Linked DNA regions of Mus musculus. The protein of the gene in region 2 purifies or fractionates together with the protein of the main gene of each other region. This does not show direct contact. Links are inferred from orthologs where the notes say so. Each region holds a gene or a part of one and is shown on either strand. Other genes may lie near its edges.

Evidence for each region.
Region 1: the proteins of Spag9 (region 2) and Rccd1 purify together in Homo sapiens (affinity purification with mass spectrometry; 3 studies listed by BioGRID and IntAct, counting the BioPlex papers as one, with this or other methods). This does not show direct contact. The link is inferred for Mus musculus from reciprocal best matches to the Homo sapiens genes SPAG9 and RCCD1.
Region 3: the proteins of Spag9 (region 2) and Nfkb1 purify together in Homo sapiens (affinity purification with mass spectrometry; 5 studies listed by BioGRID and IntAct, with this or other methods). This does not show direct contact. The link is inferred for Mus musculus from reciprocal best matches to the Homo sapiens genes SPAG9 and NFKB1.

Annotation. Positions count from the first base shown.
Region 1 is NC_000073.6:80,318,751-80,321,568, reverse strand, and holds part of Rccd1 (RCC1 domain-containing protein 1), read left to right. Parts: intron 1-225; 5' UTR 226-292; intron 293-387; 5' UTR 388-538; coding exon 539-707; intron 708-870; coding exon 871-1,267; intron 1,268-1,355; coding exon 1,356-1,477; intron 1,478-2,227; coding exon 2,228-2,323; intron 2,324-2,474; coding exon of another isoform or gene 2,475-2,542; coding exon 2,543-2,710; intron 2,711-2,818. UniProt on the Homo sapiens protein: Plays a role in transcriptional repression of satellite repeats, possibly by regulating H3K36 methylation levels in centromeric regions together with KDM8.
Region 2 is NC_000077.6:93,994,581-93,998,929, reverse strand, and holds the start of Spag9 (C-Jun-amino-terminal kinase-interacting protein 4), read right to left. Parts: upstream 2,840-4,349; 5' UTR 2,660-2,839; coding exon 2,357-2,659; intron 1-2,356. UniProt on the Homo sapiens protein: The JNK-interacting protein (JIP) group of scaffold proteins selectively mediates JNK signaling by aggregating specific components of the MAPK cascade to form a functional JNK signaling module.
Region 3 is NC_000069.6:135,614,978-135,618,626, forward strand, and holds part of Nfkb1 (nuclear factor NF-kappa-B p105 subunit), read right to left. Parts: intron 454-3,649; coding exon 295-453; intron 1-294.

The DNA.
Region 1 (2,818 bases), on a different chromosome or scaffold from region 2:
GAAGAGGGCATTGGATCCCATTGCATATTGATTGTGAGCCACCATGTGGTTGCTGGGAATTGAACTCAGGACCTCTGGAAGAACAGTCAGTGCTCTTAACCGCTGAGATGTCTCTCCAGCCCCACCCCACCCCCCAACCCCAAATAATAAATCTTAAAAAAAATTTTTTTTCTTGCCTTGAATACAAGTTTGACTTAAAAGACACATACTTAATATTTCTTACAGCTGTACGCTGGATTTGAGCCAAAAGTAGAAGTGGTCAGCTGCAGACAGTTCAGCAGTCAAAAATCTGGTAGGACCTTTGGCCAAAGCTCTGCTCCGTGGACAGTAGTGGGATGGACTCCGTTTGCCCGGTGATTAGGATGGCATACTGTCTCTATTTTACAGGTAGTGCAACTTCAGCCCCCTGGAAGGCAGGATTTGCCAGCGTTCCTAAGGTGTCCTGTTTGCAAGAGTCTCCTTGGTTTGCAACCTTAATCTTGCATCCCTTAATCCACACCACAGCCAAGTGTCCACCCACAGAGGGCTCAACCTGGACATGGCCGAGAAACGGCACGGAGCCTGGTTCGGCTTTGGTTTCTGTGGCTTCGGGCAAGCGCTGGGTTCTGGGAACAGCCACCATTCAGTGTACAGTCCTGAACCACTGCATGCCAGTGATGATATTTGCCAAGTGAGCGCAGGCTGGAGCTACACTGCCCTGGTGACCCGTGAGTGCCCTCACAATCCCAACTCCAGACCTGTATCATGTATACCTGCCCAACCCTCCTAACATGCCAGTCCAGAAATACCCAACACCCGTACACCCTTACTCGGGCAGCCTCGAGCTTCCCAGGTCCATGGCATGCGTCCCTCCCAACTCTGCCCACACAGGTGGAGGCCGGGTGGAATTGTCAGGTTCTGTGAGCGGTGCAGCAGACGGCTGCAGGGACGTGTGGGCTTCGGAGGAACTCCTGGTGCTGCTACGCAACAAGGGCGGCTCCAGCACGGAAGTGCAGGCCTGGGTACCAGGTTCTGCGTTACAGGGGGAGCCCCTCTGGGTCCAGAACTTGGTTTCTGGGGCAAAGGGCCAAGGGGAAGATGAACCCAGCAGGGAGTCTAGGATGGGGACCCTGCCGTTGCTACCCTGCGCCCGTGCCTATGTGACCCCAGAACCACCCTTCTGCCAGCCTCTGGCCCCAGAGCTGCGGGTCCGCCAGCTGGAGCTGGGAGCTGAGCATGTGCTGCTGTTGTGCGCAGCTGGCCAGGTGTTCTCCTGGGGTGCGGGCAGGTGAGGACCGGCTGGTTGTGACGTGGCGGAGCTCAAGGAGAGGCTCTCTTGGATGGACCTGTAGCTGATTAGGGACGCCTTTGATCAGGCATGGACAGCTGGGCCACGGGACTCTGGAGGCAGAACTAGAGCCAAGACTGTTGGAGGCACTGCAGGGCCTGCGGATGGCTAAGGTGGCTGCAGGTGGCTGGCACTCTGTGTGTTTGAGTGGTGAGTGACTCGGGGCGGCTCCAAACAAGCTGGAGGGCTTGGCCCCGCCTTCCTCTTGCTCTGTTTTTGTGGGCGGTCTAGCCCAGGCCTCATTCCACGCTCAGTCCAGCTCAGTCATCCCTGAGTCTTCAGTGTTTCCAGATTTAGCCTGTTACTCCACCACCCTCTTACACCTCCACTCATCTGGTTACTGCCTGTCTTTGTTACTGAGCTCTTCACTACCCCCATCCATCTAAAATACTCCCGAAGGTCAGCACACTTCTGCAGGGGAAATGGTAAGAGACAGCTCAGCCAGGAAGAATGGAGAAGGCTGCCTATGCCCCGGTAGCCATGGTGGATGGCAGAGAGGTGTGCCTTGGTCCACAGTGTGTGGCCTAGGGCTTTTGTGTATTGGGTCCATCTTGGTGGGAAGGCTGAGACAAAAGAACTTCAGCCTGGAGTTAGCCAAAGAAAAGCTGGGCATGGTAGTTCGTGCCTGTAGTGCCAGGATTCAGGAAGGTTGGGGATTTTGAGGCCTGCCAGAGAGGTACATGGTAAGGTTTGGGAAAAGGGGAAGGGGAGAAGGGGTGTGTATGGGCAGGGATCTAAGACAGGGAAGCAGCGGGACTTGGTATGGGCATCCTTGATGGACGGGTGCTTTAGGGTACCCTTTACTCGCTCCTAGGAACAGGTAATGGGGATGTTTAGAGGAGGTGGGGTGGGTGAAAGGGTCCCACAGTGTGCTTCATGGATTCTCTTGGTCTCTTGCAGAAACGGGGGATATTTATATCTGGGGCTGGAATGAGTCAGGGCAGCTGGCCCTGCCCACAAGGAGTGGGACAGAGAACAAAGCAGAGAGAGAGGAAGGTAAGGTCCCCCTCTAGGATGTCCTTCCCTGCTCATTTACTGTGTGCTGGACACTGAGAATCATCCTGGGATTTTGGCCCTGCACAGCCTCTAGGACTGAGTGAGTAAGGCTTGGGCCCCAGCTCTGGAGCTAGAAAATGGTCTTTTATAGAGCTGGAAGTCAGTATGCGGACTGTTCACATGCCCCTGACTAGTAAACACACTGTAAGCCTTCTAAAGCCACAGAATTGAATGAAGATGGTCTCAAAGAGGAATTAGCTGTGGCTGATGCAGGAGCTCCTGCCCACTTCATAGCCATCCAGCCCTTCCCTGCTCTTCTGGATCTTCCCCTGGGCTCAGATGCAGTTATGGCCAGCTGCGGATCCCGACACACAGCTGTGGTGACACGTGAGTGGGGCTGGCGCAGGGTGGAGCAGCACTTAGCTGGGGACTGCAGCTTGCCATGCCTGCCCATTTTTAATTTTAGAAAGAGTCTCCATTTATACAGAATTATTT
Region 2 (4,349 bases):
GATTACAGCACCTCATAGGTTCCTTAACACCTTCACCATTCCCAGGCCTTCTTAAGTTCCCACAAAGATACCCAAAATTTACTTTATGCTCTAGAGATGAACAATTACCATGCTTTCAAATTACTTTGTAAATACCCTCCCTGGAGCACTTCTGCTATAAGCACATGCTCTTAATCTCTGGGTTAAAGGCACTGAGCATTCAGGGAGAGAATTAAACAGGATCCACTCTGTACACTGGCCTGGAAGACTGAACTCCTAGGTATAGGCAAAACCGCTTAGCATCTTCCATGAGTAGTGCTGCTGCTGCTGCTGCTGCTGCTGCTGTTGCTGCTGCTGCTGGGGTTTTATGTTTGTGGTTAGGGCAGGGTTCGTCTAGCATCTCATCAGTGCTGTTAATTCTCAGGTCAGGAGTCTACCCAAACATTTCATTATGGAGATGTGACAGATTTAACTAAGAAGTATAAATGTTAAAGAAACCTAGTGAACAGACTGTTTTTAAAGTCATTTACTTAAATAAATATAAGCCGGACAGAGGTGGTGCATGCCTTTGATCCCAGCATTAGGTAGGCAGTGACAGGGGGATCTCTGTGAGTCCCAGGCCAGCCTGGTCTACAGAGCAAGCTCCAGGATAGCCAGCCAGGGCCACACACTGAAACCCTGTCTTGAAAAACCAAAATAAATGAACAAATAAAGAAAAATAAAGAAAACAAAGCCTAGCAGTTTTATTTTCTGATTCTGTAACCTGTAACAGCTGGTTTTCTTGGACTGTGTAACCTCGGCACTTCATCCTGTCCGCAGGCTAAGGCTGGAGGGAACATTTCCTTTTTTTTTTTAACCAGAGGTAATAGGTTACATTGAACTTGCTCCTAATCTGTGTATATTTGGCCCCACTCTCTTCCAACTGCATCCACATCATGACAAAAGTCTGTATCAGTGGCAAGTGGCACCCAAGTGGCACGCCACCTTAAAGGCCTTGATCTGTTTTATAAACCAAGAAACTAACGGGGCTGTGGCCTTGTCTTCTTTTCAACCCTCCCTCCGTGTTTATTTGTAAACATACTCTTGAAATAAAGTCAATTTTGTTTGGCAAATTCAATGCCTTTCTTTAAGATAGGTGGACTGCAAAATCTCAATTACAAAGCGCCACTATAATCATGACTTTAAAAAAAAAAAAAAAGAATCATTTACCTGAATGCAGAGGCACAAATAACAAAATAAACTGCCTATTTAATGCTAGGAACTGAGCTGCCAAACAAATGTCACATTCTTCTACCGCGTCATGTAGTTTTGAAAAACAACACGTGGTTCCTTCGATAATTAGTCTCCTTCAATCACCATGTATTTAGCTAGGTACAGTAGATGTCTGGCACAAAAACAAGGAGAGCATTTTGACTGCCGAAGAAAGGTTCTTCAGAAACAATGCCAGGGCGCTCAGCCTGCAGGCTAAAATCCTGAACTCGCTCAAAAAGCTAGAGGATCATTTACAGCCCAGGATCCAAAAAGGCTCACACACTCAGGTGACGAGTACAAAGGTCACCGCTCAGGTGTTCGAGCAAAGAGCCAGCCAAGTGCACTTAGAAACTGCAGGATGCAAAGCAAACGCAGACAGGACAAGTGTTGTAACACTCACCCACACCTTCTCAACCCCGCCCCCCAGTCTTTATAAATAGAGGAGGCTGTCAGGGAACTGTCCAAGGTTACCACCTGACACGAAGGAGGAACATTCCTCTGTGAGGAACATTAATAAAGTAAATGAATGTACTGTATGTACTTACTGGACTCTGCTAGTCGACTTCTAAGTGGTTGACTAAGTGTTAAAATTAAATGGAAAAAAAAAAAAAGGGTACATAGGTAGACTTCCTTCTCAAGAGGATCTAAATGTCAAGAAGAAACTGACCGAAAGAGGGAGATCTCTAACTTCCCAAAGCAGCAGCAGCCCCCCCTGGAAAGGTACCGAAGCCAGCGGAACTGACACGGGCAGGACAGCACTGCCCCTCCCCATGCTAAAAGTTTGAACCCGCACCCGACTATCCTACGGTGGTCGGAAACTTCCCTAAACAAGAAGCAACCAGACACCCTCAAGTCTCCGCCCTCGGGCAGTCCCAGGTGCCCTCAGATGCCAGAGTGTCGCTTCCTCCCCCGGCCTTCCTCCCACTTCACCCCTCTCCTGGACACTCGCTGGCCTGCCTAGGCTTCCAGCACCGGCCAGTGTCCCGGGGTCCCGAGACGCTGCGGAGCACTGTCCCGGGCCCTGGATTCGGGCCTGCCCTTCAGGAGTCCACCCTGGCGCGTTGGTGCGCCTGGCGCGCCCAGCGTCCCCAGCCCGGCTGCGACCCCCGCCCCCGCCGGCCCTCACCTCCTCGGCGTGCTTGCGCAGCGCCTTCTCCCGCTCGTACTGGGTGATGAGCTGCTCGTTGTCGTCCCGCAGCAGCTCCAGCTCCACCTGGTGCTCCTGGTCCTGCGCGAACACCGAGTCCAGGTTCTCCAGCACGGCCACCACCAGTGGCATCAGCTCCTTGACCACCTCCTCATCGTAGCGCCCGATGAGCCGCTCGAACTCGCGGTAGATGGAGCCGGCCAGGCCGGACACCCGCTCTGACATCACGGCCCCGGAGCCTCCGGGCTCCTCCTGGTATACCACACCGTCCTCCAGCTCCATGGTGGCGGGCGGGCGGGCGGCCCCGGGCGTCGCCGGCTGAGGGGTGGCACGGGCCCGCACGGGACGGGCCCGGCGGAGGCTGGGGCTGGGGCTGGGCCCCGCGGGGTGGGGGCCGGAGCCCTGGCCAAGGAGGGGAGGGGTGGGGTGAGCGCACTCGCCCCAACCGCCGCTGCACCAACTGCCGGGGCGGCCCGGCCGCGCGCGCTACGCGTCACCCGTGGGGCGGGGCCAGCGCCGCGTCGCCCCGGTGGGCGGGGCCCCGCGGGAGGCCAGGCGCGGACGAGGGGCGGGGCCTGGCGGCGGCGTGCGCCGGCTGTGACGCCAACACCCGGCGCCGCGCGCGCGCGGACCGAGAGGTGAGAGGTGGAGGAAGTGACAGCCGGAGGCTGCGTTGGCTGGGCGTTCCCAGAGGAAAGGGAGGGGCTCTGAAGACTGACAACTTTCCCCAGGAGGCTGCAAGCGTTTTCTTCGCCTTTTTACGGCTCATCCCGCGCCTTCTTGGTGCGCCAGACGTGTGGACCCTGCTTAACAGACAAAGAAACTAGGGCCAGGGAAGTTGCGGGTTAGTCAAGGTCATACCGCTAGAACAGGAAAGAGGCAGAGGCGAGACTCTCTCTACTTCCTACTGAGAATTCTGGACTCAAAGGAAAACAGTGGATGAGGGAAAAAGCTGTAACTAGAATGACTGCCTAGAGGATCAGGTTGCCTCGAGTACGATAGTACACTTTGATGTTAAGGAAGAGTAAGGATAGCCTTAACCAGAAGAGCGAAGCGTCTGGAGAAGGGAAAATGAGTACCACTTTTTGCATTTTGCCAAACACTGGGTCCCTCTGCTCCCTGCCTATGAGAAAGACAGTTCTAGGCTGCAGCCACTACCACCGGTCCCTCTCTGATCTTGAGAGGGAGGTGGGGCTGGGAAGTGAGAGAAGAAGCAGAGGAGGCTATGGGGTGGAGTCAGTGGTGGAATAAGTCCCATGATACATGAAGTCACCTATCTTGGGAGTGCGTCACTCGTGGGGAATGCCACAACACCCTAGCCTTGGGCAGGCTGAGTCAGAGATTACTTCCGTGTATTCTCATCTTCCAGTCTCAAGTTTGGCGGAAGACACTCGCAAAAGCCTCTTCCCTTTGCCATAGCTGACTCAGATACACCGACTCCGACTCATCTAAATATATGGGAAGAACAGAGAGGATTTAAATAGACAAGTTATTAGGGAGAAGACTGGCTACCTCCCGGAGTCCTAAATACCCTGTTTGGTGTTTAGAAGTTTCAGATCATCCCCAAAGTCTCCCACACTTCCATCTCCCTGGAAACCACCAAAAGCTCTGTGGAGGTTGACCCAGTGCAAAAGGACAAAGATGAAAACTGTCAAAACAATTTCCCGAACCCCTGCGCCACTACCCTTAGTTTGTGCTCTCCCTGTCTCCCTTCCTCACCCTTACTTTGTGTATATGTCTGGATTCTAGGAATGCTGCCCAGCTAGTTGAGTATGAGCTCAAAATGCCCTATCGATTTTTAAAAAGAACTTTATTGTTTTGTTTTGTGAACTAATGTTTTGCCTGTGTGCATGTCTGGGCACCAGTCCTGTGCAGAGCCTGCCGACGGTGTCCTGTCAGCTAGAACTGGAGTTTTAGCTGGTTGTGAGCCTCTATGTATGTGGTGGGAATCAAACCCTGGTCTTCTGCAAGA
Region 3 (3,649 bases), on a different chromosome or scaffold from region 2:
AGCAATCTATCCTTACAGTCATGTGTTCATAGTAAGAAACTGGTGTTACATGTAAGGAATATAATGCACTCTCTGAGGAAGACGTGTTACCTTGGCAGACATGTTCTTAAGACGCTTAACTGGATATTGACCCTTTACCCTAGACTGCAGTATTAACTTTGTAGACAATAAACTAGAGGCTCTATGTGACTAGGTCCCAGTCTGCAGGCCTCAGCTCTGGGGAGTAAGTGACATAGTGGCCCTGCCCTCCATGCAGCTAGATGAAACTGTCCCATCTTGGGAACGAGTACTCACTGCTATCATAGATGGCGTCTGACACCACAGGCTCCAGTCTCCGAGTGAAGCTGCCAGTGCTGTCAGGGAGGAAGGCTGTGAACATGAGGCGCACCACGCTCAGGTCCATCTCCTTGGTCTGCTGCACGGCTGCCTGGCGGATGATCTCCTTCTCTCTGTCTAGGGTCACAGAGAACAGTCTGCTCATGCCCAGGCAGGTCAGAGTGTGAACATTTGACAGCAAATGGCCTCAAAGACCAATTCTTTTCCTCTAGAAACACTTCCTTAAAGTCTTTCTTGGCATATACTCAGTGCTCATCGGGATAACTCCCTGAAAACATTTTCATCCTAGAACAAGCACTGTGACCGTACCTAAGGCCCCTTCTCCCCTCCTCATATCCACTCGTCCCCTCCCTACCAACGGAGTACCTTCCTCTTACTTTCATATCCTATGCACGCATATGCAAAATATCTTATGTACATCTATATAAAACCTAGGATCTAGAACCGAGAGAGACGGTAGGTGATGTTCATCTTCTTTGTTCTGGCTTATTTCTCTTGATACAGAGATCTCCAGTTGCATACACTGCCCTGCAAATGTTTCTTTTCTTTTTCTTCCCTTCTTTTTTAAAAATAAAGATTTATTTTTATTTTATGTATGTGAGTAGACTATAGCTGTCTTCAGACACAAGAGAAGAGGGTATCGAGTTCCATGACAGATGGTTGTGAGCCACCATGTGGTTGCTGGGATTTGAACTCAGGACCTCTGGAAGAGCAGTCAGTGCTCTTAACTGCTGAGGCATCTCTCCAGCCCTTCTTTCTTTTTTCTTTTTTTTTTTTAATGGCTGAAAAAAAACTCCATTACTCATGTATATCATGCTTTCTTAATCCATCATCTGCTAATGGAGAGCTACGGTGGTTGTTTGATGTAGCTCTTGAATATGGCTGAAATAAACACATATGTGCAGGGAAATATGTATGTTATAGTACGTGGAGTTAGAGTTTTGTAAATATCCGCAGGAGTGGATAGCTGTGTCTATGCAGTTTTACTTCATGTTATTCTAAATCTCCATTTTGATTTTCTTATTTACATTCTTGCATTTGTTGGTCATAACACACGTGTGTTTAGGGTAGAGGACCACCTGAGGGGAGGGGTTCTCTCCTTCTACCATGTGGGTCCTGGAGACTGAATTCAGGGCAGCAGGCTTTGTATGGGTTACCTGCTAAGACATCTGCTACACACATCTGGGGACGACCTTGAACTCATCTGGGAGTGCAGCCGTTTGTAGGGAGTGCTGGGAATCAAACCCAGGACTTCTTACACAAGAGGTAAGTACTGTACCACCTGAGCTACTTGGCAGGCTCCTGGACTTGTTTTCTTAATGACTTCTGACCAGGGTGAGGTGGGACCTCAGAGGAACTTTAAAGACTAAGGGTGTGAAGCATGCTTTCACATTTGTTGGCTGTTTGCACTCATTGTTGGAGAACCCTCTCTTTCTTCTGAGCGCATTTATTTACTGGGTTGTTTGTTTCCAGAATTTAATTTTTTTTGAGTTTTTATAGAACCTAGATACTAATCTGTCAGCTACATAGCTAGCAACAATTCTTTCCCCCACTGAAGGCTGTCGTCTCTTCAACTCAGGAAACTGTTTCCTCTGCTGTGACGCCTTTGAATCTCAGTTGCTAGTTCTCCATTTTATTTCCTGAGTTGCTGGAGCCCTTTTCGGAAAGGGCTTGCCTACATCACGAAGCGTTTTCTGCATGTTTTCCTTTAGCTGTTTCAGACCATTACCTTTTCCATTAAGATCTCTGCTCCGTGTTGAATTGGTTGGTAGGGTAGGAGCCTGGGATCTGGTTCCCTTCCTTATATGTGCTAGCCGGTTCCCCACCGGCATCACTTCTTCTCCAGCCCGTCTTTTCTCTAATGCACATTTTGGCATCTTTCTCGGGTATCAGGTGGCTACATTGTGTTCCTTTCTGACTCTCCTCTTCTGCTGATTTACACGTCTGTTTTGACCCCACTTCCATGCTTTTTTTGTTACCATGGCTCTGTAGTGTGACCTGGAATCAGCAGCTATGATACCTCTGATATCAGCAGCTGTGATACCTCTGAAATATTCTTACTATCCTATAGCTTTGGCTACCTGAGACCTTTTGTCGTCCCAAGTGAACTTTATTTTCTAGGAGGAACGGTATTGGCATTGTGGATTGCATTCAATCTACAGACCACACTTGGCCATATTTTTGTGGTAGTAACTCTGTTAACTCCCAGGAACATGGGAGGCCTTTCCATCATTGATTGACATCTCTTTCTTCTTCCGTGTCTTAACATGTTCACTGTAAAGGACTTTTCACATGGTTAGTTTATTGCCAGGAGTTTTATTTGCTCATGTTGAAGCTATCGGGGATGCCTGTGACTGTGCTCGGCCGTCGCGTTTGCTGACTTCTTTCTCGACACACTCACTATCGATATAGGAAAACCACGGGGTCTGTGTGGTGATGACGCAGGCTGATCCTCAATCAGAGCTAAGCCTCTCCAGTGCAGCCCTGGGCTCTTGTGTGTGGGACAATATTGTCTGTGGATAGGGCTCTTTCATCTCTTCCTTTCCCGTTTGTATATTTTTCATTTCATTCTATTATTTTATTGGGAATGTATGAATCGGCTTATCCTTTCCTTCCTTTTCTCTTTTCTTTTCTTTTCTTTTCTTTTCTTTTCTTTTCTCTTCTTTTCTTTTCTTTTCTTCTTTTACCTGGTTTGGGTATAAAAGTAATGCTGGCTTTGGAAAATAAGTTTGTTGATATTCTTCCCCTTTCTACTTTATGGAACAGTTTAAGGAGGATTTACGTTATCTCTTCAAATATCTGACAGAATTCAGCCATGATTCCATTTAGGACCGGGTATTTTTCAGTTGGGAGATATTTTATTGCTTGTCTTAGGTCTGTGTAAGTTGTTTCTATCTTCTTAGTTTAACACTGGCAGGTCAGATGTACCTGTGAACTTACCCGTTTCTGTGAGATATTCTAATTTACTGTAATACATATTTTCAAAGCCCTAATGATTCTTTGGATTTGACCATTACCTCTGATAATGTTTCCCTGATTTTCACCTTTAATTTTAATAACTGAGTCTTCTTTTTTCTTTTGGTTACTTTGGCCTGAAATTCTTTAAACTGTTAGTAAAATTTTACACAATGGTCTTATTAAATTGCCTAAAAACCCATCAAAGGTAAGCTGCGTTTTCTCTGGAGTATTGTAAATATTGTCTTCTCCCATGCTCACCCATCTACTCTCCTACGCTTGCTAAGAGATAAGGCACACATAGAATGCGAGGAGTACAGGGAAATGCACGTCTCTGCACCGCCGGCTGCGCAGACAT